Linked DNA regions of Struthio camelus. The protein of the gene in region 2 binds, or shares a complex with, the protein of the main gene of each other region. Links are inferred from orthologs where the notes say so. Each region holds a gene or a part of one and is shown on either strand. Other genes may lie near its edges. The genes, in order: ASB9 and CKB.

What was found.
Region 1: the proteins of CKB (region 2) and ASB9 are in contact, whole or in part, in a cryo-EM structure (PDB 6V9H), measured with the Homo sapiens proteins. The link is inferred for Struthio camelus from reciprocal best matches to the Homo sapiens genes CKB and ASB9. Residues at the interface, in NP_001814.2 of Homo sapiens: Asn63, Pro64, Gly65, His66, Pro67, Tyr68, Ile69, Thr71, Arg130, Arg132, His191, Val198, Ser199, Pro200, Leu201, Leu202, Leu226, Trp228, Glu232, Ile238, Met240, Asn286, Arg292, Gly303, Lys304, His305, Glu306, Lys319, Arg320, Gly321; in NP_001026909.1 of Homo sapiens: Leu25, Asn27, Pro28, Leu29, Met30, Gly31, Asp32, Ala33, Val34, Ser35, Asp36, Trp37, Pro39, Glu42, Ile45, His46, Trp60, Ala67, Asp68, His69, Glu75, Ala100, Asp101, Trp102, Val111, Asp133, Leu134, Ser165, His166.

The regions. Positions count from the first base shown.
Region 1 is NC_090942.1:139,578,729-139,590,262, forward strand, and holds the start of ASB9 (ankyrin repeat and SOCS box protein 9), read left to right. Parts: upstream 1-6,885; 5' UTR 6,886-7,207; coding exon 7,208-7,301; intron 7,302-11,534. UniProt on the Homo sapiens protein: Substrate-recognition component of a cullin-5-RING E3 ubiquitin-protein ligase complex (ECS complex, also named CRL5 complex), which mediates the ubiquitination and subsequent proteasomal degradation of target proteins.
Region 2 is NC_090946.1:72,363,287-72,375,397, forward strand, and holds the start of CKB (creatine kinase B-type), read right to left. Parts: upstream 4,559-12,111; 5' UTR 4,460-4,558; intron 3,617-4,459; 5' UTR 3,597-3,616; coding exon 3,404-3,596; intron 2,937-3,403; exon of another isoform or gene 2,927-2,936; coding exon of another isoform or gene 2,749-2,926; intron 2,259-2,748; coding exon 2,104-2,258; intron 1,173-2,103; coding exon 1,040-1,172; intron 129-1,039; coding exon 1-128. Other genes in the region: tRNA (adenine(58)-N(1))-methyltransferase catalytic subunit TRMT61A, read left to right, coding at 11,598-11,928. UniProt on the Homo sapiens protein: Reversibly catalyzes the transfer of phosphate between ATP and various phosphogens (e.g. creatine phosphate).

The DNA.
Region 1 (11,534 bases), on a different chromosome or scaffold from region 2:
TGCGAACTAAAAAGATTTAATGGGAAGCCAAAGAATTCCTACTATTTTCAAATTAATAATGAGAAGTTAGAAAGCAGGAGGAGAGGGAAATTAAAATGTTCCTCAATGCTGGGATTTGGGTTTCACTTGGAAATTTGATATTAGGCAATATCACCTTGCAGCTGGCCAAATACTAGAAGATTTCAGTGTGGTAAAATACCACCTCAGCTCTCAAGTATGAGACTAAGGTTTTTGCTGTAATTACACCTAACATCTGCCTATTGGGATGTACTCATCACATGAATTATTTCATCATATTACTAATCTGGCAGTATTGACAAACTGTGATTGCAACCCATGGGACAAGCTGAAAAATCCTGAGAAGCCCTTCGAATCATGATGTTTGAAAAACTTCCAGGGTTTGGATTCTTTTTTCATGGATTATGGTATATAAATTTTTAAGACAGTTCAGAAAGCAATGTGAAGATGTATTTTCCAGTATACCAGGAAACCTGTGCAGGTGAGTACACTGGCACCCATTTGACACCTGACAGTGAAAAAGAGAGTGTTACTGCTCTTATCTCAGTGGGGAAGATGCCTCTAATCCCTCTTTTGCCACAAATTAAATACAAGAAGCCTGTGTGTGAACTTGTAGAAGTTTTCATTTTAAGTTTGTCTTGCTACCTAGGAAATCTTGGTGCTTCTGTACATCTGCAATGAGTTAAAACCACAGACCTAGGTACTACTGACACTAAGGGGTGTTTTTTACTTCTGTCAGGGTTAATTGGCTTTGATTTAGATGGCAATTTGGGAGACTCTCTTGTTAAGCACATTACCTTTCCTGAAAATTGCCAGCGTGCATAAGAGAACAATTAACTGCAGAAGTCTGTTTGGTCCCTCAACCAGGATGATGGGACGTTTTGAAGGGAAGTTTCTGTAAGGGTAACAGAAAGGAAAATAAAAACATTATGTGCTCAGAATAACTGTAAGAAAAGGAAAGCCTCTGGAAGCTTAATTTGAGGAAAAGAAATTAGGGATATGAGAACTGGAGAAGATTAAGAATTTCTTCAAGGGAAAAACCTCTTCACTCTGTGTCTGCTCACATGTTTTATAGCAGCCTTCCAAACAAAACTCAAGTATTTCCAGAAACGGCGCTGGTGATTTAGTACTCCTGAGGGCAAGCTCTAACAGATTTATTTGCCATGATTTAAAACATGATTGTCCCAGATGTTTGTCTTGCTCATCTGCTGGAAATTACTGCCTTGAAGGGGAGGCAGCAGAATGTGACACATAATCGTGTCTCAGGGCTCAAGTTTATAGGTTGGAGTATTAGTGGAAAAAAAAAAAAAATTACGAGTTTTTGAGCTAATATAATGGACTGCGCACTAAGGCGGTGGAGGCATCTATGTGCAGCCCATGCTTCCATCCCTTGCAAGGATGTGGTTAACGTCTGCTGAAAGTGGGGAATGGGGCAGGCAGCTGTGGGTAGCAACAGCTTAGACCATTGCAGCTACATCTGCCAGAGGTCTCCATCAAAAGCCTCTCCTCTGAGAGGTACTTACTCCAAAGAAATGGTCTTACAGTTCAAGGATGGGCCAACATTGGACTTAGGCCGGAGGACATAGAGGACAGAGGTCCATTCATGTTGCACATTGCCACACATACTCCTGATGCTTGCTCAGGATTCTGCAATAGCCCCTAGCTCTAGGCAAATCCTAGGCTGGGGGGCTGCATTTTGCTTATTTAAATGATTCTTTTCTGTGAAGAAGTGAAGACCTTCCATCGTAAACTGTTGCATTCAGAGGCTATGCAGTGCAGAGTGCACAACACAGTGTTGGCATGTGTGCTCAGGGCTGGGTCACTTGAATTAATTTTAGCCATACTATTAAAGTGCGTTTCGTTTGATTAAACATGCACACCCGTATCTCAGTTTGTCATCTGAGGGACAAGTTTGTCATAAAGGAATCTGTTTAAATCAGTGAAGTGCCTTTGTAGGCTCTTAAAGGCCCAATTCATATCCTCCTAAAGCAGACATCTAAATAGGTCAGATGAATCACCACCTTCAAATGCCTATTTCTCTTCATTAACTCTAAAGGAAACCTAGAGTTCCTGTTTCAGACTCTAAAGTTGAATTAAATGAACCTCATGTTTTGTGTCCAGTTTTCCAAATATTTTCTGTAATTCTGTGATTTGTATCCTATTGTGCTTGTCTAAACTTGCAAATAGTAATAAAATCTCTTCTGTGATTAATAACTGACATACACAGTTTAAAAACTGACCAGCATGTGAGAGAAGCCATCAAGGTAGTAGAGCATTTCATTGAATTATTTTTAAAAAATGCCTTTGAAGGAAAAAAATGTGGCTAGCTTATAAAATCTTTAGTAAACAGAGAAAGTAATATTGAGTATCATATACTCAGCTTTACTGTACACTTTTATCCACACAGGATGGTTGCATCTGAGTAAAGTGATTTCTGTAGCTAGATCTGTTTTTGTAAAACACAGAAATGTAGGTGCTATTTAAATGGAAAATACCGTTGTAACGACTGGTGTATCTGTATTGTGTAAGCTCTGTTTCTAATCTGTATTTGAAGTTTTGTGTGCTGCTTATCTTCAGATCCAGGTTGATGTTAAAGCATGTTCCTTTGTTGTTTGAGAATATTTTGTTTTCATCCAAAAAAAATTTGCAATCAGTCTAATTAAATGAATCAGAGCTTTCTCGCATTTTCTCAGTGCCTAGCCAGGCTCTATAAACGCTATCATAATATCCTAACCTGGGGGTGTTTTATCTAGGGAGTTATATTTATCCCGATGTTGCCATTTGGAGGAAAATGATGCTGAAAGAGGCAAATGGTCCCAGCTGATTTTGTTTGCCGGTATATTTGCCAACCAGGTCAAAGCCAATGCACTGCTTCTGTATGTATGTCCAAACTACTAGCTGAAGCAAGATGCCAAGAGACATTGTAAACTTGCCAAGTCCTTGACATAAGTTTTCTAGCTACTTGCTGCTCTAATCTGGCTGCATATCAGCATAAGGGTAACTATAACATAATTCGGAGGAGTATGACGCTTGGTCAGTGGAGAGGATGGCTACGGTCTCAGTTCTGGACGTGTCTCATCCATCCAAATGAGATGAAGGAGAGCATGGTCTCACATTGAGGTATTTCAGGGCTTGAGCTTTCCCTCTGAAGCACCCTAGAGCTCAGACTTGATCCAAGTGTGAGCACCTGCTAGCCTGTGAGCAGGGTAGCTGCATCTGATTGCAAAACGAGCCATGACTCACACTTAATTGCCACTGTAGGCATAATCAATATGGCTTTAATCCTGGGAGATAATAATGTGGTTCCTACAATGGTGGCCTTAGGAATCTCATATCCTGATTTCTTAGCCACCCATAATACAGTAGTGGGGAAAACCACAGCAAAGAGAAAGGAATGCAATTTTGCAGTCGCAGAGAAAAACTGTTTCTCTGTTTTTCACTCTGTTCTCTGAGTTGCTAATTCTACCTTGTTACTCATTGTGCCTCTACTACAAAACTTGGTTGGCAACATTTAGAACTAGATTCCTTGCAGCTGTAAATAGTACCAACCTTGTTAATGTACATGACAGAAAATTGCTGCAAGGTGAGATCTGACCAAACAGAAAAGGATTTGTTGAGGAGAAGGTGTGTGTGTGCTGGAGGGGGCCATGGTCAGATATCACATAGAGTGAATGCTAATGGTGGAGAGTCCCAGGAATCTGCTTTTTCACAAGCAACAAGAAAAATATGTATGGACCTATGTTTTGAAAATAAAGTCTCATTCATCATAAGTTATGACCACAAAACTTCACTTCTAGAAAGGATAAAGCCTAGGAACTGCCACTGTAACATCCAATTGAAAAGAGAGAGCATCAGCCTATTGTTCCTTCACCTCACAATCGGCTTGTAAATACAAGTACACCATCTTTTACCTTAGTAAGTGCAGAGAAAGCTTTTGTTCTGGGTGTCTCCTAAGATAATCACTTCTAATAAGCCCCTTAATAAGTACTTTTCCATCTCTCTCACCATATCTAGTGGTGGAAGAGACTTCTTGGTTTTAAATGAAAAAGGTGAAAGATGTATTTGGTTATATACATTTACGCACACACACAAACATATATGTATTTCCATATGTATATACATACGATGTGAAATTAATCCCTGACTTAGGCAAAGCCCCGTGCATCACCTCAGTCCTGATGGACAAAGGATCATGTGCTGGAGAGCATCTTAACTTCCCCTGCACTGGCCTAACCCTGCAAAAACTGTAACGTAAGGTAGTGATGTAGGGCTCAGGGGAGATCAAACTATATGATTCTAGTGATTGCAGCATTTCTTTCAAGTGGTAGCTTTTCCCCTGCTGTGTGTGTACAGGTAATAACCTCTTCTCATCACTGACGCATTTCTAGAATTTCCCACCTAACAGCTCAAAGTAGTCCAAAATTGGAATTGTTCTGCAAGCTTTAAGGATGCAAAGAAAGGATAAGGTGCATAGTTGAAATAAAAGGGAGTATGCTGGTTTGGGGACTTTGAGTACGAATTTGCTTAATTTTATGAACTTTTTGTAGATTTGAATTAACTGGCTGTACTATCTTCTTACCTTGTATTCCCTCTGTCACAGAGCTATAGCCAGCCAAGTGTCTAACCTTTGGTAGAATTGTTGCTAGAACTACTAACATCTGAATAAATGTTGCTCGTTCCAAAGAATGGGATGGCTACATCCCAGGTAACGGGCCCCTTTTCTCCAGTTTGGTAGCAGATAGGTATGGATAAAATATTTTCAGAATGGAACAAAAGTGGAGGCATTTCATAACAGGAACCAAAGATGTCCTGACTAAGCAAAGGCTTCAGGGCCAGCCACCAGACCGGAATCTAGTTATGCATGAATGTAGCATGATACAGAGGAGAAAGCATGATCAAAGAGTGATACTTTTGGGTGTGATCCTATAGCCCAGAAAGAAGTCCCAGTTCCTGAGGAATGGATGTGGTAACCGGGGCACACTGTCATTGTGGCTTTGCCCAGGTGCTGACCTCTCCGGTCCTGTTGGAAGTAAAGTGTGATTAAATTAGAAACTTCTTTTGTGATGTCGGTGTCTATTTTTTCCATGAAAAATAAATACACATGGACCAGGATACCAGGAGATCAGGATGAAATAGGTCTGTGGGCTATGACCCTGCCCGTTTCAGAAGGGGTAATGGAGAGAGGGAATAGCTAGAGACTTCCCAGAGCCATGGGGAGGGTTACGGGCTCATCACCCCTTTAGATGCTTTGTGCAACCTTATCCACTTCAAGAAAGACCAGATTACAGCTCATTTGTCAAGGTTAGCAGAGGTTTAGTTAACAGGAAATGACTAAACTATGTGCAACCAGTACCGTACTACTCAAATGATTACCCTATCAGCCAGCAGGTCCCTTGGTCAAAGGACCAAATGGCCAAAGTCACCCTTTTCTTGGATGGCTAGCGACTAAGGGACTTTTGTCTTGTAGGCGCTGTCTTTGTAAGGCTGAACTCAAAGGTCTTAGCTAATACTTCTTCATTTATGAGCCATATAATCACATATGTGGACACATATGCTGATCCTTTTAGTGGTGGAATAGCTGATGTGTTTGCTAATACCGCTCTGTATATGATTAAACATAAGCTGTAGCAATCTAGCCACTAATCTCAAGTGCTATTGAAAAGAAAAAAATGTTTTTGACACACTGATGGTCAGTACCAATACTTATACACCTTCCTGAATTTACATACATGTAATTTTTCCCATAACTTTTTTAACATTGGAATTGCAATGGCTCAAACACAAACATATGTGCCAGGCAGACCAAAGTGTAAGCTTGCATCAAGCATGTGTGGTCACACTCAGAAGCCAAGGGAACTGGCAGGCCTTGTCCTCACCCCTACTTCATTGGCAGTTGTGCACCAGGATGTGTCTGGGCTGCCTTCACAAGGCAGCATTTGTGAGTGATGTTGAGCTGCTGTTTATATCTATTAAAATAATGGATTTTTTTTTAAGATGTGGAAAAAAAAAATCTAAAAATGATTCCAGATCTCTTGTATGCATTATAAACAGGAATAAAAATGAATCCCAGTTGCTTAGGACTGGGAAGAGATACAAATTCATCCCCGGGGGACAAATTTAAGAAAACCCTACTTTTTATTTACATAGGTGAGATTTTACATGCAAGTCTTCCCTGCTTGTACTTGTACCCAAATGAGCAAATATTCAGGCAGAGCAAACAGATTTTGTGCTTGTGAATTATACTCATTGGGGAACAAAAAAAGAGCAAATAGAGATGATCTGTGAGGATAGGATTTATGTAAGCATTCAGAGAAATGAGGTGGAGGTCTGTTAATATTTATTTGCTGGTAGCTTCATGGTTTTTATTTTAGACTGAGAAATTGCTTAAGAATAAAAAGACAGTGCTCAGATATGAAGCTCTTGGTGTGACTATGACGCAGTGAAACTGATTGAAAAGGGTGGAAGGAAATCAGCCTGAATAATGCTGTGTTTTTCATGCTGTGGAGGCAAAAAGGACTTCCAGTGTAAAGCACAGCTCTACAAACATGTGGTTTCAATATTCTTATGGTATGTGGTGACCACTGCTCAGTAAAAGGAATTCAGCACTCCATTTCTTGCATACCGTCATGGGCTCTTCAGATAACACGAGTGGTTTTGCATACTCTGCAGTACTTAGAGAGGCACAAGGCAAAGTTGCTTGCAAACAACTCACATGAGTGGTGCAGATGAGTGCACACTGGTATCTCTCTGGGTTTTCTTTACAAATCCCCTGCAGGCAGAGTTTGCTCAACTAGTTGAACTGGCTCTTTCTGTCTTGTTTTTTTGGCAAACTAAGAATTTCCTTCCTGATAAAAACAGACAGCAGGCGTACTGATTGGGTGCAGTGTTGGAAAGGATATGACATCAGGCACGTCCCTTGCTTTGTACAGTGTGGTCTGCCTGATTGCTGGCTGCCTCCCAACTGAGTGAGGGAGGTGTTTCATTAAATCCTAACCCAGGTACTCGAGTTTCTGCATAAAGTGCTGCCGGCACCAAGTTCCAGTCTGCTGCAAGGTTTGTTTGACTTGCGCACACAGAGCCTGCTTAATAGATTACTCCCATAGGCAGGGGTTCATCGGGGAGGATGGAATTTGAACTCTCAAGAGCAACTGTGAAGTGAAAAAACAGAATTTGGACAGCCTAGGCTGAGATGGATGATGAGGGAACAAATCAAAACACCAGCAAATTGCCAGGAGCCGGAGGCCAGCCATCTGCAACTTCTCTAGCAAACCCACTGATGAGGGGTAAGTAACGCTCCTGCCTCTCCGCTAATCTTCTAGTCTGCCAGCAGAGGTGGAAGAGCGGTGGGTGGAGAGGGCAAAGTCAGGCTATAGCTGCGTGTTCCTCCTGATAGCCTGTTAACAGTGCAGGTCCATGTACAGTACCACACGTCCCCATGTTCTTGTACTTCAGATAGGCTTCTTATATGCTATTCATATTTGTAACTGAATTTGTTTGTTTGTTTTTGTGCGTGACAGAAAAGAATATCTGATTCTATAGTGCAGCTTGTATAAGCGGAAATAAATGCAGTATGTAAACCACAACAAACTGAAAAAGAAGTTGCAATGTGGCATGTTTGGCTTAGATTAGTGCCAGCTGAAAGCTCAGCATTGGCTCAGTTCCTCTTTTCTCTTCTCCATTCCCTTTCCTTCCTTTCTCTTCTCTTCTTTTCCTTTCCCTTCTCTTCTTTTCCTTTCCCTTCTCTTCCTTTCTCTTCCTTTCCCTTCCCTTCCCTTCCCTTCCCTTCCCTTCCCTTCCCTTCCCTTCCCTTCCCTTCCCTTCCCTTCCCTTCCCTTCCCTTCCCTTCCCTTCCCTGCCCTTCCCTGCCCTGCCCTGCCCTGCCCTTCCCTGCCCTGCCCTTCCTTTCCCTTTCCTTCCCCTCTCTTTTTACTTCCTTTTCCTTTTCCTTTTCCTTTTCCTTTTCCTTTTCCTTTTCCTTTTCCTTTTCCTTTTCCTTTCTTTTCCTTTTCCTTTAGGTAGACATAAATATTCTTGCAAAGGCTGAGTCAGCACTAGTGGGTACTTCCACAATGGACAGGCCATTATTCATTTGTGGTCACTGGTGAATAGTTATTTAGACAAATGACCTCACACTGATCATTGCTCTTTTGTCTGGCCTGGAGCCTGTGAAAATATGACATGGTAACAAAGGATAAGTAATTAAATTTCACATAACAATTTAGCTAGATGTGTTCCCTGTAGCTCTCTTTTCTGAGAAGCTACTCCTTCAGTTCATGGTCAGTGCAGTAGAACAAGGAGGTAAATTAAGATAATATGACTTTACACTATTCTAACTCCTTTCCTGGGCTATTCATGACTCTTCCATTCATACCGAAAAGAAAAATAGGACCATAAAAGTAAGAAGAGGCAACCTACATTGCAAAGATGTTCAGTATGTCTGCTGTGCTGTCTGCTCTCCTCATGTGGGTGTATGTATGTATATGCGGGTGTGTGAGGCTAGGGTAGGAGGGAAAGGAGAGTGTCGTTGTTATTAACAACGTGAACCAAACCAGGTCTGCACTGGAAAGGAGCTTTGGCAAAATGGTGTCAGGCTTCGTGCAGCTGGATGAGAAGTAGGGGAGTCCTCCTGCACACTGAGGAGTTGGTCGTTTGAAAATAAGAGTTCAGCTCATACCTCTTGGATTTGCCTGGTCCTAAGCAGAGCCAATAAGCTTCTCTGGTGGCTTGCAATAGGAATGTATTTGGCTCTGGCTATATATATCACAAACTTCCTGTGAAAGCCTTTCAATATGAAAAATACCATTCAGAGTACTGTTAAATACAATGCCATAAGCATATGTGTTATGCAAATATGTGTACAAGAGTGTACTCCAGCTGAAAGGATTTCAAAGCCCCTTGGGAGTAGTACCATGTGGGACCACTGCTGAAGAAAATCAGTCAGGGAACAGGCACCCAGTGTGCAGCACCATCCAGGGGCTGGATCAGAGGCTGGAAAAAGATATTTTAAACCATCACCACAGAAATGAATGCTCTTCTAGAAAGGCACTGGGAACGCGCTGTCATCTACAGGGAGCAGTCAGGACTTGCATGTTTGTGTGGTTAACAATATAAGGCTCCCTCTGTATACACTGTTGGCATTCAAATGCCCAAGTGATGGCAGTGCAATCAAATATGATCCAAAGTTTAATATAACCCCTGGGCTGGCTGGGATTTTCAGCGGTGAAAAGGGAGTTAGATATCCCAATGCCACTGAATTTGGGCTTTTGGATTTTGGACTTCTAGATGCCGAGGACCCTGATGCCTAACTTAGCATGCCTGTGGACTAAGGTGCTGGCTAAATTTCAGTATTGGATAAACTGGCTTGTTCCTGTGTGAGAGAGCACTTGTACAAATTTTTGGCAAACAGAAATTCTTGTGGCTGTGGTGGTACATACATTGAACACCACCGTCCCACATATGTACACCAGCCTTGCTCCTTTGCAGGCAGCCCTCATGGGCAGAATATTCTGAGGACTTTTATGAAAATCACTATTTCATAGTATTAAAAGTCCACGGCCAGTTAGCTTTGGCATTCGCTTAGCTTTTACTCAGAAGCTTGTAAATGGCTTAAATACTAATCATTTGTATTTCTGATGGTGTACCTACTGTGCTGCACAGAAATAGGGGTAAGATCCCAACTTCCACTTGCAGTCTCTTTCTTTCAGGTAAGAAACTCAAATTCCAGAACAGAGCAGGGATAAAATGGAAACTTTGTGATTAACCTGAGAGTGATGCCCTGGGTGCAGGAACTGGGGAAAAATGCCGCCTTCTGGAGGAGGCTGCCTCCCTGGTGTCCCTTCAGGGAGGAGGGGTTTGCTGCAGATGGAGCTGGGGCAGGAGAGATGGCAGCTGAGGCCTGTACAGTTCATGGCTGCAGAGAATTGGAACTATGTGGTAGCAATGAGGATTACAAAAGCTACTATAATTACTAAAGGCGCCTTTATAACCTGCACCCCCTGCACCTCCCCCCAGCTCATTCATCTGTTCATTTCATACACTCACTACAGCCCATGAAGCTGTATCGGGGTTTTGTCTCTTCCACCCTTTGGCCCTTCTAAATTTCAGGCTTCTCCCAAACCTCAATCACATCTGAGTTGATGAATCTTTCTGTGAATTTTCAGTTGCTCCTCAGTCCCCTATTTTGCTTCCCTTTGACTTTCATAGTCATAGGAGTGCAAGACTGGAAAAGACAACCTGCCTCATAGAGTTCACTCTCATTAGCTATTTCTATACTGCTAAATGAAAGAGACCGGAACTATTCCTGTTATTGACACCAAATGGTGTAGATTGACTTACCCTCACATCCTCGCTTGCTTAAGGCTTGTCCCCTTGAAAGCAAGCTGGCCACATCCACACTGTGGGCCTCACTTGATTACCCTGAGACATCCTTTTTATTTTATATATATATTTCCTTTTCAAAGTCTGTGAAATAATGAGGGCCATGTTACAGCTCAGCAAAGTGATATTTTCATAGCATAAAACTGAGGGGATGCATTACATGACTTTGTGGCAGGAAGGATGTTTGCGTGTACAAAGCCTGTTAGGACAGCATTGTGGAGGGAGGCTTGTGTAAGGTGAAGGGGCCCAACCTGGTGCAGCTTCGTCCATGAGCCCCTTTGGGAGTCTTCTTTGATAAGAAGTATTTCCCTGAGCTGTTCCCTGTATTATTTTGGAGTCAGCTGGAGCAAGTCAGGATAAGATGGGAAGCAAGCTCACAGTTAAGCATGTGGATGAGAAGCAGCTCAGTGCTAATTATCTTCCTGGCCCTCTTTATTTGGTAGCACAGATTTGCCTGCTAAGTCTGAATAGTCTCTCACAGTCACATACAGCAGTGGAATAGACGGCTGATTTCAAAGTGTCCACAAAACATCTAATCTGCAGGTCGCAGTCAACTGGTCACCAAACATTTTGTCAGTTCCCTGACAACAAACTTATGACCTACAGAAAAAAACTGGAGTCCACAGCTATGCTGAATGCATGCGAAGAGCAGGAAAAGGTGCTATAAGAGGAATTGATTAAATAAGACCTTGGGGTGAGGGCAGGAAAGCGACTGTGCCCATGCTCAGAGGAGTATGGGCACAACCCCTATGTCTGATGGTCCTCCTTGGTCTGCTCTTGGAGGTATGTTTCCTTCAGCTTTCAGAGCTGGTAGTCATTTTAACTGTACCCATGAGCAGGAAATACTGACCAGGGAAAAGGACCTCAGCCACTGGGTCTGCATCCTGTCTCCAGCCATGCTCAGTCTCCAGTGAACACAAAATAAAGCTTCTTTCTGGCCCCAAGGGGCATCCAGTGGTAACTTCGATTGTGCGGACGTAAGCCTATCATAAAACAAGGAATCCAGTCTTTTTTCAAACCCTCCTCCTTTCCCTTCCCTTAAGTATGTAGAAGTCACAACCAGAGACAAGGCAATGAGGAGAAAGAGTGAAAATCCTGAATCAGTTGCTTCTCTGACCATCGCTGATGACATTCCTTTC
Region 2 (12,111 bases):
CAACAGAAGAGGAGAAACTGGCTTGTCAAATAAGAAGTGATCGTCAATCAGCTGCTGCTGCTCTGCATCAGTCATGTTCCTCAAAGCATAGTACTTCCCCTTGAGATCACCTTCCAGACTACCCAGAGCTGAAAGAGAGCATCACTTTTAGGACAGGGCCAAAGATGCTAGACAGTCTCAGCGCTTTAGAGATCACATGCAAAGTACGGCAATGTCTGATCTGCTGGTTTGGGTTCCTCCCTTGCTTTCATCTGTAATGACAATGCCCCTGTAGCATTACAGAACTTAAAGCAGTATCAGATGATTTGTCTCTACCTTCCAGGCTTGTACAAGTAGCCTTTGTTCCCTTATGTACAGTTTAGGATCATTACTGCTGCTTAACTGTAGAGCTGCAGTGCTTCCAAGGAGAATTAGGGTCATGAATATAACAAACTGCATTATTCTAGACAAGGACCGATACCCTGCCCTAAAGCGGTTTTGGAAGGGCCACGCTGCCAGTCTCCCAGACAGGACCTTGGGTATATCCTCTCTTCTCACTTAAAGGAAACAAGGAAAAACTGCAGTTGAGGAGTTCCACTGAGAACTAGAGCTTATTCCAGTCAACTGCACAATCAGCAGAGTGAGGCTATACCTCTGAGCAAGCTGAATGTTAATGAAAGTCAATTAAAAGCAGCCACAAAAAACTGTAGCCATGACTCAAGCCCTGACATTGCTACATACCTATTACATTTCAGGTTTGAGCCATGATGAACCAACTCCTTTCCCCACACACACAGGAAAAAAACCAAAAAACTTTCTGGATCGGTGAAGGTCAGCTTAACATAGTCCAGCTTCCCTCTGCCATGTCCTCTTTTTCCTCAGCTACAAACGGCAATGCTGATGCAGTTACAGTTCAAACTGCCCTTTGCAGAGAAGGCTCCAGGTTCAGATTAGGAGTCTTGAAGACTTTTGCTTATTGCCTCCATTCTCAAACCACCAAGAACATCTCTTGCCCAAAGGATATAAGGAGCTTTCCCAGCACACCCAGTTCTCACCTTACCTTCAACAGAGAGTTTTTCAATAGCCCGCCTCTCCCCTCGACTACAGTGAGGGGGAAGACAGAATCCACGGATGCTCCTACCAGTTCTTACACGGGAACTTAGCACGTAATTAGGATCCAGATCATCACCACCCTACAAGATTAGGAAAACAGTGAGTACAACTTTGTTATCAAAATACCTACCCTAAATATAAGTAGCTCCCACGCATTTCAGCACGGCCCCTAAACTTCAGATATTGACTACCTGGCCTGTAAGCTGATGTCTTAGTTCAAGACCACTCTCTGCAGCATGAGCTCAAATACTTGTCCAACGTAACCCTTGTTTTGGGTCTCAGACTAGGGCTACTAAACATGTACTAGACCTCAGGATTACCAGACGACAAACAGTTGTAGGTCTGCTTCAGACCTGCATCTGGGGTTTTGTTCCCTCTTCAGATCTGGAATCCAGGTGTCACATAAGGCAAACCTTTGTTATTTGGGTAGGTGTTTACTCTTGCAAGCGAGAATTATTCACAACTGCCATTCAGAGTGTTTTAGTTTAAGATGACCCACAGTTAGGAGTTTCTAATACCATCATCGTTGGCTAGGGTCTGCAGTAAAATTTGAAATCTGTAAGAGCACGTAAAAAACCTTACTCCTGGCCATAACAAAGGCTATTCTATAGTATGACATCGCTAGGATAGCTTCCGTTTTTCGCTTGTTTTCAAAGATCCAAGATCAGATGGTAAAAAGTATTAAGACTTATGACAGCCCTCAAGTCCTAGGACAGTGCTGTTAAAGCTTGACCACAGCAGCTCATGGCTGATGAAAACATGAATTCAACATTTGGCAGGGCTACACTACAGGAGCACATGAAGCAAGCTCCTTTCATCCGCCAGCTGCATGGCTCTACCCAGCCACACGGGCAGGCTCTTAAATTGTGGATTACAATGGACAAATTGCTTGTTAGCCTGTGCAGGGTGAAACTGGAAGGGCAAAACGTGAGCAATCATTTTACACAACTGCCAACATCTGTGTCCAGGCCTCAGACCACTAGGCATCAATAACCGATTAAAAATGTATACCTGCAGATTATCAGCATTCAAGTCAGTCTTGTGCTCATCAGTTGGTTTGTAGCCACCATGCCTGTCTTCAATAACCGGATCAAAGAGTTCCTTAAACACATCATAGGATTCTTCATCACCAGCTACGCATCCTACTGTCATTATGAAGGGATGGCCTGGAGCGGTAATAAAGTCAGAAGAGCTAAGTTCGGGTGATGTCTTGCTGTACTCCAGAGCAGCACTAACCAGGCAAGTTCTTTAGTGGTAGGACTAGTCATTTAGAAATGCATTCTTACATTAAAGAACCAGGTGGAGAGACCCTATATTTTACATTTAATCCATTTAGTCAAATCAGTGCTATGGAAACCCATAGCTTTTGCCATTAAGCCATGCTCATTTGTCAAGTTTGGTTTCAGACAATTTTGCCCAGCACTTCCAATTTTACTAATTTAGACCACTGGGTAGAACTTTATGCCCAAACAATTATGCTGCTCTGCTGTAAGCAAGCATGTTTGTTTGATGTTTTTTGGTTCATACTGCCATAGACAGAGCAGCATTTCTATGGTCTACTCAAACGCCACCTTCACAAACTTAGTTTAAGTTGCCATATTCAAAAGCACCAGTTATTTCAGCTGGTTCACACAGAACGTTCTCAATGCATTTTACCAGGATTATCAACCCCAGTCTGAATGACATCATCCAGGGTGAAGCCACTGGGTGTGACTCTGTCTCTCAGTTTCTTGTATAAATCCAGGGTTAGAACTTTGGCCATGTGGTTGTTGTGGCTGCTCAGGTCCGGGTACTCCTCATCAGGAGGCAGTCTCTGATTATTTAGTTGGGCCATTTTGATATTGCTAGAGCAAAAATAAATACTGTAATGTTAACATGTAAACACATCTGCTCCCCCTGTTTTCAAAGAAGTGCTACAGAGCATCACATAACCGGTCTGGAACAGGAAGAGATCAGAACAGCTAGGTAAGCCCACATAATGTCAGGGCTTTTTCCTTCCCCCCGCTCTAGTTGCGTTATAATTAGAGCACACTCAGTTTGTGTTTTTTTTTTCTCCCCAAATTGGAAGTATTTAGCAGAGCAGTTACATAATTGAAGTGTCTGAGAGTTGATATGCCAGATCATAGCAAGGAACATGGCCTGACAGAACAAGGCCTCTTTTAACACAGCCATGCGTTTAGAGCTGTCTCTCACTGCTTTATGAGATTTGCCTCTCAGCAGCTCAAGAGCCTTGGGCGCTGTTGTCAAGAAGCACTTCCAGTAACGAGGGAGAACAGATCATTAATGCAGCTCTAACGGTTCTGGCCGTTACCTGGGTTGTCAACCCCAGTTTGGATGACATCATCCAGCGTAAATCCACTGGAAGTCTGTTTATCCCTCAACTTCTTGTACAGGTCCAGGGTCAGCACCTTGGCCATGTGATTGTTGTGAGCACTCAGGTCTGGGTACTCATCCTCAGCAGAGTTCTTCATCTTCAGCAGGTTGTGGCTGTTTGAGAACGGCATGTCTGACCCTACCGCAGACACTAGGGGAAAGAGAGGGGAAGCCTATCACCCCAGCTGCGAGACAGTCCTCCAGAACCGCCCTGGGAGGAGAGCCACGGGCAGAGGCAAGGTCACCTTGGCTTTTGTTCCACCGGTGCCTTTTACGCACCTTGCTGCTACAACACCTTCCACAGGAGGAAGGAGATTTTAAAAAAAAAAAAAAAAAAAAAAGATTGTCACCTTCACAAGCCTTGTCCCGTCTCCCTAACACGGCCCAGGCGCGAAGGCAGGGCCCCTTCCCCCTCCCCTCGGGGCACCGCCGGGCGCGCAGCGGGCGCAGCCCGGCCGAAGGGACGCGCCCAAGGTCGCGCGGCCCCTCCGCGGCGGCGGCGGCGCCGGGCAGCGCCCGCCCCGCCCCGCGGCAGGTGAGCGGCGCGGTGCCCCGCCGCCCTCTCCGCTCGGCGGAGCGGGTCTTGGGGGAGCGTTAGCCAAGCCCGTACGCAACGGACGCCCCGTGGGGGAAGGGGGGGGGGGGCGGGCTGGGGTGAGCCTATGTAACTACCCTGCTAAATACCGGGTGAAGCCGGTTGTAGAGCGGGAAGCGGCGGCGCCGGGGCAGCCCCCGCGAGAGGCTGCGGCCGCGCCGCTGCGGAGCCTGAGGTCTCTCTCCCTCTTCGCCGGTTACGTGCCCGGCGCGCCGCGCCGCGCTGCCCCCCGCGCCTCGCCCGCAGCCCCGGCGGTTGCCGGCGCTCCCTCCCCCTCCGCGACGCCTTGGCGGCCGGACCGGCTCCAACCCCAGCGACGCGATAAAAAAAAAAATTATATATTAAAAAAAATAAGAAATGAAATAGCTGCAGGACGGCGCGGCTCACCCCGGGACTTACCGAGGGCTCCGCAGCCAAAGGAAGGACCTGCGCTCCCGCACCCCACCGCTGCCCTAGCCGGAGTGGAGCCCCAGCGCTACTGCCGCGCCTCTTTTATATAGAGCGGGACCCGCCGCCCCATTGGCTGCTATTTATAGCCCATTCATTCCATTGGGCGAGCCGCGAGGTGGGCGGAGCGAACGCCCCGTTGCTGGCCAGGCCCCGCGTTGCCGCCATCTTGCTTGGCCTGGTGGAGGCAGGAGGCGTTGGGCGGGTGGGCGCGTGGCGGGGGGTGGGCGCCGGGGGCCGGCGGGGCCCGCGCGCCGCTGCCAAGAGGCGAGGGCTGCCCCAGCGCCTTCCTTCGCTCCCCGCGCTGACGTACAGGAAAACTCATCGCTGCGTTGCCCTAACCAAGTGTTTTCCACGAATCGCGGTGCCTTTAGCCAACGCGGCGGCGTGCGAGGCTTGTTGCCGTTCAGGGGCTCTGCCTTGATCAAGGATTCAATAACGGGTGCGATAATCTGCTGTCTTAAAAATAAGACACTTTGTAGTGTCAGGACCAGCACGACCTGTTAACTTGATAAAGGCTGCTGATAATGGCTGTAAGCCTGCTGCTTAGCCTCCAGCACCTGAAAGTAGTGGGTTCACCTTACAGTCTAATTTGAAGGATCTACCACTTAATTCTGTGCTTAGCCTCCACCACCTCAGAAGCGGTGGGTTCATCTTACAGTTTAATTTGAAAGAAAGTATGTTTATTGTGTAAATAAACACACGGCACGGCAAGCCTCCTACTCTGTCACGTGCCAAAAAAAGGGGGGGGGTGTATTGGAGGGTGGCTGATTTCCTATTGAAGACAGAAGCAGAAAGGCTGGGATTTGGTCCATCTAAAATTCACCTTAAATTCATGAAAATAGCACTGTTAGCTTCTGTTGGTGTATTTGTAGCGATGAGAAGGATTTGCTCCAAAGTTAGAGAAGCTGAGAATTGCACGGTTTGCAAGAATAAGTAAATAAATAGATTAAAAAAAAGAATGACTATCTTGATCTTACTTCTACCTCGATAGCTCTTCTTTATCTTTCTCTTAAGCGTATCTCTCACAGCAGAATCCATGTTTATCCTCCTGTCCAGCTGGGCAGTACATTTATCCATATGCATGCAGATCTAAGTCACAGAGTTGTTTTGTTCGACATGAGTTGCGAATGTTAGGAGACACCAATAGAAATTCTTTCCCCACCACAATTCTTTCAGCACCACAACCAGTACCCTTATTCAGATGACAAGTGTAAGCAGTTTACAGAACTGTTTAGGGTAAAAAAAAAAATATAGGAAATCGTTATAAAATAAAAACATAGACTGCTTCAAATAAAAATGCACTGTGTTTGGCTGCCATCCAAATTTCCAAGTTATTCCAGGTCTGATATACAGCGATGCTGAATATACAAATCTCCAGAAGTCAAGGGCTCTGCATCTGTGCAAGTCTGGTTTCTTATCTCCCGGATCAAAGAACAAATCCTCTCAGTGTCTCCTCTGGCTTTTTAACCTCACAAAATCTTCCCCAACCTTTTAGCAGTCATGTGTATTCACACAGTGCTCATACTTCAATAGAGCATAAGTTGCAAATAACGCCATTGCTGAGCAAATATGAAATGAATGTAAGTGCAAAATCAGACCCACTTGTCACAGTTGTTATTCTTAACTTAGAACAATATAAAAATATTAAGAATGTACTCCTATATTACAAGTACACTTATTTCTTCACAAACAACATGCTTTGCTTACCAGAGAAGGTACTGAAGGCTCCTTCTGTCTTCTTCCAAAATCTCCCACCACACACAGAGAGGCAATCGACTGTTCTTTACAATAACTGTTCTGTAGATTCATGGAGTCAAGCTCACCTCAGGAATCAAATTTCCAGGGATCCATTTCTATTTATGGGATATGCTCTTTCCCTCCCAGTCCCAGAGCAAGGAATACCAGTCACTATAGTTATTATAAGCTAGTGGTGTTCTAAATGTGCCATTCATTATGGCACTTCCGACGCACACGCACACACGTTTTCCTCGCAAAACTGCTGTCTGGAAAAGAAAGGCACATGAAAAGAGAGGGTCATGGCAAGAACGCAATCAAAACATATCCAATTTACATGCTTAATACACTTTGCACCCTCTGTCCCCCTTTTCTCACCATTATTTGACAAATTTTCTAATAAGCAATATGGCAGAAGTAGCCATTACTTGACTGGGTTTTACTCAGGCAGCATTTTCAGATTTGCTGAAAGCTGTGTGTAAATTGGATCCTACCTTTGTCACAGTGTCCCATCCCAGCTTCCCTAGTGACTCAATTATAGATGCTGTGCTGTGTGTCAACAGACTCTGATCAGCCATTTTATCTGGCTCATCTGCTGAGTGAATACTTCGTTCAGATAAGCCTGTATTGCCTGTTAGACTATGATAAAGGCACCAGTCTGTACCTTCTCTGCCAGGATGGATGATGTCTTAGTGCATACTGACTGATCCACTACGTTGCAGTTTTGCAGCTCAAGGTGGAAAAGCGGGATGACTACTCCAGAGATCTCTGTAGTGAGCTTTAACAATGAAGAATTAAGGGATGTTAATCATGCTTCGTGCAGCTAACTTCCTAAGAGGCTTAATTATAAATGTTGTGCAGTGTACAACTGCAAGAGGAGATGAGCGTTAGCTAGTGCACGTCTTCTGAAATTACTCACGTGAACGTACGGTGAACTCGAAGAACTAGAGGATAAACCTCTTCTTGGGAATCCAGAAGAATATCCCAAATTAGGAAATGGCAAGAGAAAGTGGTTCACTATATATAACTGAATTGCTACCAGTGCCTACATGACAAAAATTGGTTATAAACTGTCACTAAACAGCCCTTGAAAATGAAACGTAACAGTTCTACATCAACAGATGAAAGGAGTTGGTTATAGCTGCATCTGATGCTCAGCTTCCCAAATGGAACTTCTTTGCCCATTTAAATGGCTCACTCAAGTCTATCTGCCTAATTATTGTCCTTGCGTTTTTTCACACTGGTTGGGCAGTCTGTTGAAAAAGCACCGATAATTTCCACAGAGCTGAGTACCTTTGGAAATTAAGAGCTGCTGAGAGTCTTGATCTTGTATGCAGTTAGGTCCTCAGTAATTTGAACAGCAGTTCATCCTGGGAGAGAAAGGACACAAGAATATAAGCGATGACAAACACGACCAATGACACAAGAAACGACACAGAAAAAAAAACATGGTAGGTGCAAATCTAAAGGCACAGTGGAGCCATGCTTGCCAGTCAGAAAAACAGCTGAGTAGGAGTTTGCCGTTTAAGAAACCTCTGAAGCTGCATACATTATGTTTAGATTAGAAAGATGAAGGAGAGTTTCATAACTAAATAACAAAGACTACTGCAATTATGATATGGGCAGGTATAGTTGGTCAATAGCGTAACAAAAAATATGCAGGTTCCTGCTCTCCCTGGGGGTAACAAATGGGCCAAACTTCCCTTATCTCCAAATGGAATCACATCCATGCAAAACTCACAAATTGCCCTCTAGACAGCTTTGGGGTAAGTATACAATTACTGCGGTTTTGACATCTGAAAGAACGACTTTTTTTTCCCCCCTCGGTATTGTGCATTATAAATGGTTAGCGAATTCAGGAGGGTACGGAGCATTATCTGATCGCGATGAGGACGTCACCTGCACATCCGAGGTGATTCACCCGCTCTCTCTGTTTTGCTGGCGCCCCTCCCATGCCAGGTGGCCTGGGCTTGCCGGAGGCAGCAGATGGAGCGATACTCCCCTCCTTTGCTCCTCCTCGCCTCCCGCCAACGTCCCCCATACCACCGGGGCACCTACAGCTCGCCACATCATCTGAATCCGCAACATGAGACGTATGTAGGAGTTAATACCATGCTATTCGGGGTTGAGAGAACGATTCTGCTCCTTCTGAGCCCACATTCTGTTGCTGGATTTTTCCGTAGCCTTAAAAAAAGGCTGGCGCGAAGAGGCTGGTTGGCCTCGAGCGCCTTTCCCGGGAGCGGGCTGCCCTCAGGCAGCGCGCGCAGAACTTTCTGGAAGCGCCAGCCGGCGGGGCCGGGGGAAGTCCCGCTCCACCCAGGGCGGTGGCCAAGCCACTTACTGGGGAAGGGGCTTCTGGAAGGTTCCCCGCGGGCTCCTTTGGTGGCTGGCAAACACCAGCCCCCGCTACCTTCTCCTCGCCACCGTCGGGTTGCAGGGGGGGGGGGGGGCTGTCTCCCGGCAGGAGCCAGAAGCAGGCGGGGAGCGGGAGGGGGCCACCCGGGCCAGGCTGCTCGCCCAGCTTTAGGCGCAGCCCGGCCGCCTCCCGCCGTCCAGACCCCCAAAGGCTCCGCGGCGGGCGAGGGACCGCTGAAGTTTCCCTCAGGGACGCGGCAAACAGCAGCCCCCAGAGCGGGCCGAGAGCCCGATCCCCGGCCGCCGCCACGCCGGCGGCTCGGCGAGGGCTGCGGAGGGCGGCAGGCGCCCGTCCCTCCGGCCCGGAGACACAGCAGGGAGGGGGCCTCGCTGCCCTCACGGCGGGGGCGGGAGGGGGGCAGTCGGTTTGCCCCGGTGTCGCGCTGTGGGGACGGGCAGGGCTGGCGGGGGCGGAGGCGGCGGGGAGGCGGGAGCGTCAGCAGCCTGCGACCGGGGCGGAAGGCGGTGCTGGGCGGGCAGCGCGTGTGAGGAGAGCGGAGCCGGGCCGGGCCGGGCCGGGGGCTCAGCCCCGGGAAGGTAACGGCTCCGGGCATGGGGGGAGAGCTGGCGGCTGCTGGGGGCGCGCCGACCCTCGGCTCCCCGGGCGAGGCCCTGAGGCGAGGCGGGGGCCGAGACCGGGTCGCGGCGCGTCCCGCTGCGTGCGCGGCGGCGGCCGCCGCCCGGGCCTGTCACGGGTTAACGCTGCTTATCGGGCGCCCCCCCCCCTTCCCGCTTTATTTGTGCTTCTAATTCCCCCTCAGCAAACAGAGAGTTTAAATCAACGGGCTGTGGGCGCGGCCGCGGAGCGGCCCTTGGTCCCCGCGTTGGCCGAAGGGCGCCCAGGAGGTGGGGGCTGAGCTGCTGCCCTGCCGCCGGGAGAGGGGCTTCAGCTGGCGAGCGGAGGGGAGGAGACAGCCCTCGGCCCCGGGAGAGGGCAGCAACCCCCGCTTTTATTATTACTGCTGTTACTTAGGGGAACGTAGACTCATTTTAGCGGCCTAATTTGTAAGATTGCGAAGGATCACCTGGGCCTAGGCCAGTGCAGTCCCAGGAAGCGTGAAGGCTCATAGGGGCTTCCCGGCCCCCGGCCGCAGCCTCCCTTCCCCTGCCCTCCCGCTGCCCCCCAGCACCTTCCGGCAAATGATTAGGGGCTGTAGGTGTCCGCCATGGGGGGAGGCAGAGCAACTGCCCGAGCGATAATGGTTCCTGCAAGAGTGCCCTGACAGAGCCCAAATTTACCCCCCAATGTACGAATATAACAGGCTAGGTGAGCGCCCGAGAGGGCTGTCGCTTGGGATGTCAGCATACATTGCTGGGAGATGAGCTGTCATAAATGTGGCGGCTCAAAAGAAGGCAAAGAAACCAGGAGCCAGTTTATGTGGTCAAAGGGAGAGTAATTCTTTCCTTGTCCCTGCAGACATGTGGGGACGTTGCTCTTGCCTATTGGCATAACTGCGGTCGAAATACTGTAAAAGAAAGGGACGGCAGTCAAGCTGCTTTCAATGGTATTATTGTAAATGCGAACTGAAAACTGCGTGTTTCATTTATGGTGTCTAGAATGAGAACTGGAAGTGTAATTTATGAGAGATCAAGATCATCAATATAATCAGATGGTGCAAGCTATAGCAGGGGGTTAAACCTAACTGTACTATCTCACATACAAAGTGCAATGTGTTTACATTTCTGAATTAACAGTATGCCCTTCTTACAGTTTCACCGTAAAGCCAGACAGGGCTATTCTCTTTTGCTGTGTGAATACCTATGATTGCATGTTAAAAGCTTTGGAAATGTTGGCCATAAATGCATTTGTTTCTCAGTCTCAATGATTTCAGCAGAAAAACTAAAAATCAATCTAGCTGCTTAGGAGCAAATTAAACTACAACGAGTTGTGATCAACAAAAACGGACTAGAAATTTAGAACTAAAATTAAAGTTCTTAATGAAAATAATGAAGTATGACAGAGCTATTACGCATGCAGTAAAATAGCACTGGCATCAAACCATTGTTCTGAAACTAAAAATAATGCTGCTTTTAATTCTCTTACTGAAGAAGTACCCAGAATTCAAACTTCCAGAGCTTTCTGTCATAGACTAACTTCTGACTTTGGGATTACCGTTGCCTTGTTAGACAATTCCTTCCATGAATTGATCAAGCAGCAGCTTAGATTGCTGGCTGCCACATCTGAAAGGCAATGGCAGATTGTATCATAAGCAGCCTTCCAATTTCCAGGTTTTCTTCTCAAAAACAACAAAATTTAATTGTAGTTCTCTAAGCAGCTTCAATAACACGGGCCTAAAGCAGTACAGCTGTGTTTGCGTTAGCTTGCAAATAGTTGTCTCCATCCAGTTGCAGCACAGCTCACTTCCCAGACAATTACTTTGCGCCCCCAATCGCAAATGGAAGGCCTGAGTACCATTTATTCCTTGTACTCAGTCAAATTTATACATGAACTAATGCAGATACTGCCTTTATCCTGTCTCAGACACTTGACTTACATTGTAAATCATCAAGGGATAAGGCAGCAGAAGGAAATAAAAGGCACTGCTTAGCAAAACGCTCTGAGAGCTTGTCAACTGGAATTTAACAGACTGCTGAAATGGATAGCTCTTTGCAACTTTCCCAGGAGCATTGTGGAACAGGCTGAATAAATTATAATTTATTTGCTAAATTTACTTAAAAGTATGCCATACAAGAGGACAAATACTTGTTCTATTCAAGTCAATGGGATTTTTTTCTATGGATTTTAATGGGATCAAGAGTTTGGGAGTGGGGGACTCCTGAACTTCAGAGAGTTCTCTTGCTACCCTCTTATTTATATAGTTTTTTTTATCTGGAGAAAGTAAAATGCCTTATTTTTATTTCTAATTTCCACTTCGTCACAATCTTGTAAAACTCTCTGATATGTTTTTTCTCTTTTAGGTGACAACCACCAGCCACAATGAGTTTTGTTGAATATGGAGATACGATAAAAGATGGTGACACAGCTATTGTGTTCTTGGGCCATGAATCCATGTTTCCTGTTAAAGTCCAACATGGCACTGTAACTCAGACTAAGTACGGGGTCATTAGGCATTCCACAGATCTCATAGGCAAGAAGTATGGCTCCAAAGTGACCTGCAGTAAAGGAGGATGGGTGTTTATTCTTCATCCAACCCCAGAATTGTGGACCATGAATCTTCCACACAGGACACAAATTCTGTATTCCACTGACATCTCTATAATCACCATGATGTTAGAACTGAAACCAGGCTCCATAGTATGTGAATCAGGTAAAAATTAATATATTGAAGTCCTTTATTAAGAACTTACATCAACACCTCAATGAAAGTCAGCCTTAACTTTCAATTTTGCAAGGCTTTTTTTTCTTTCTTTCTCCCATTGTCCTGTAATTTTCCTAGCCTACATATTGAGTAGTTCTCTTTCATTTGCACATGTTAGCAATTGCTGTGTCT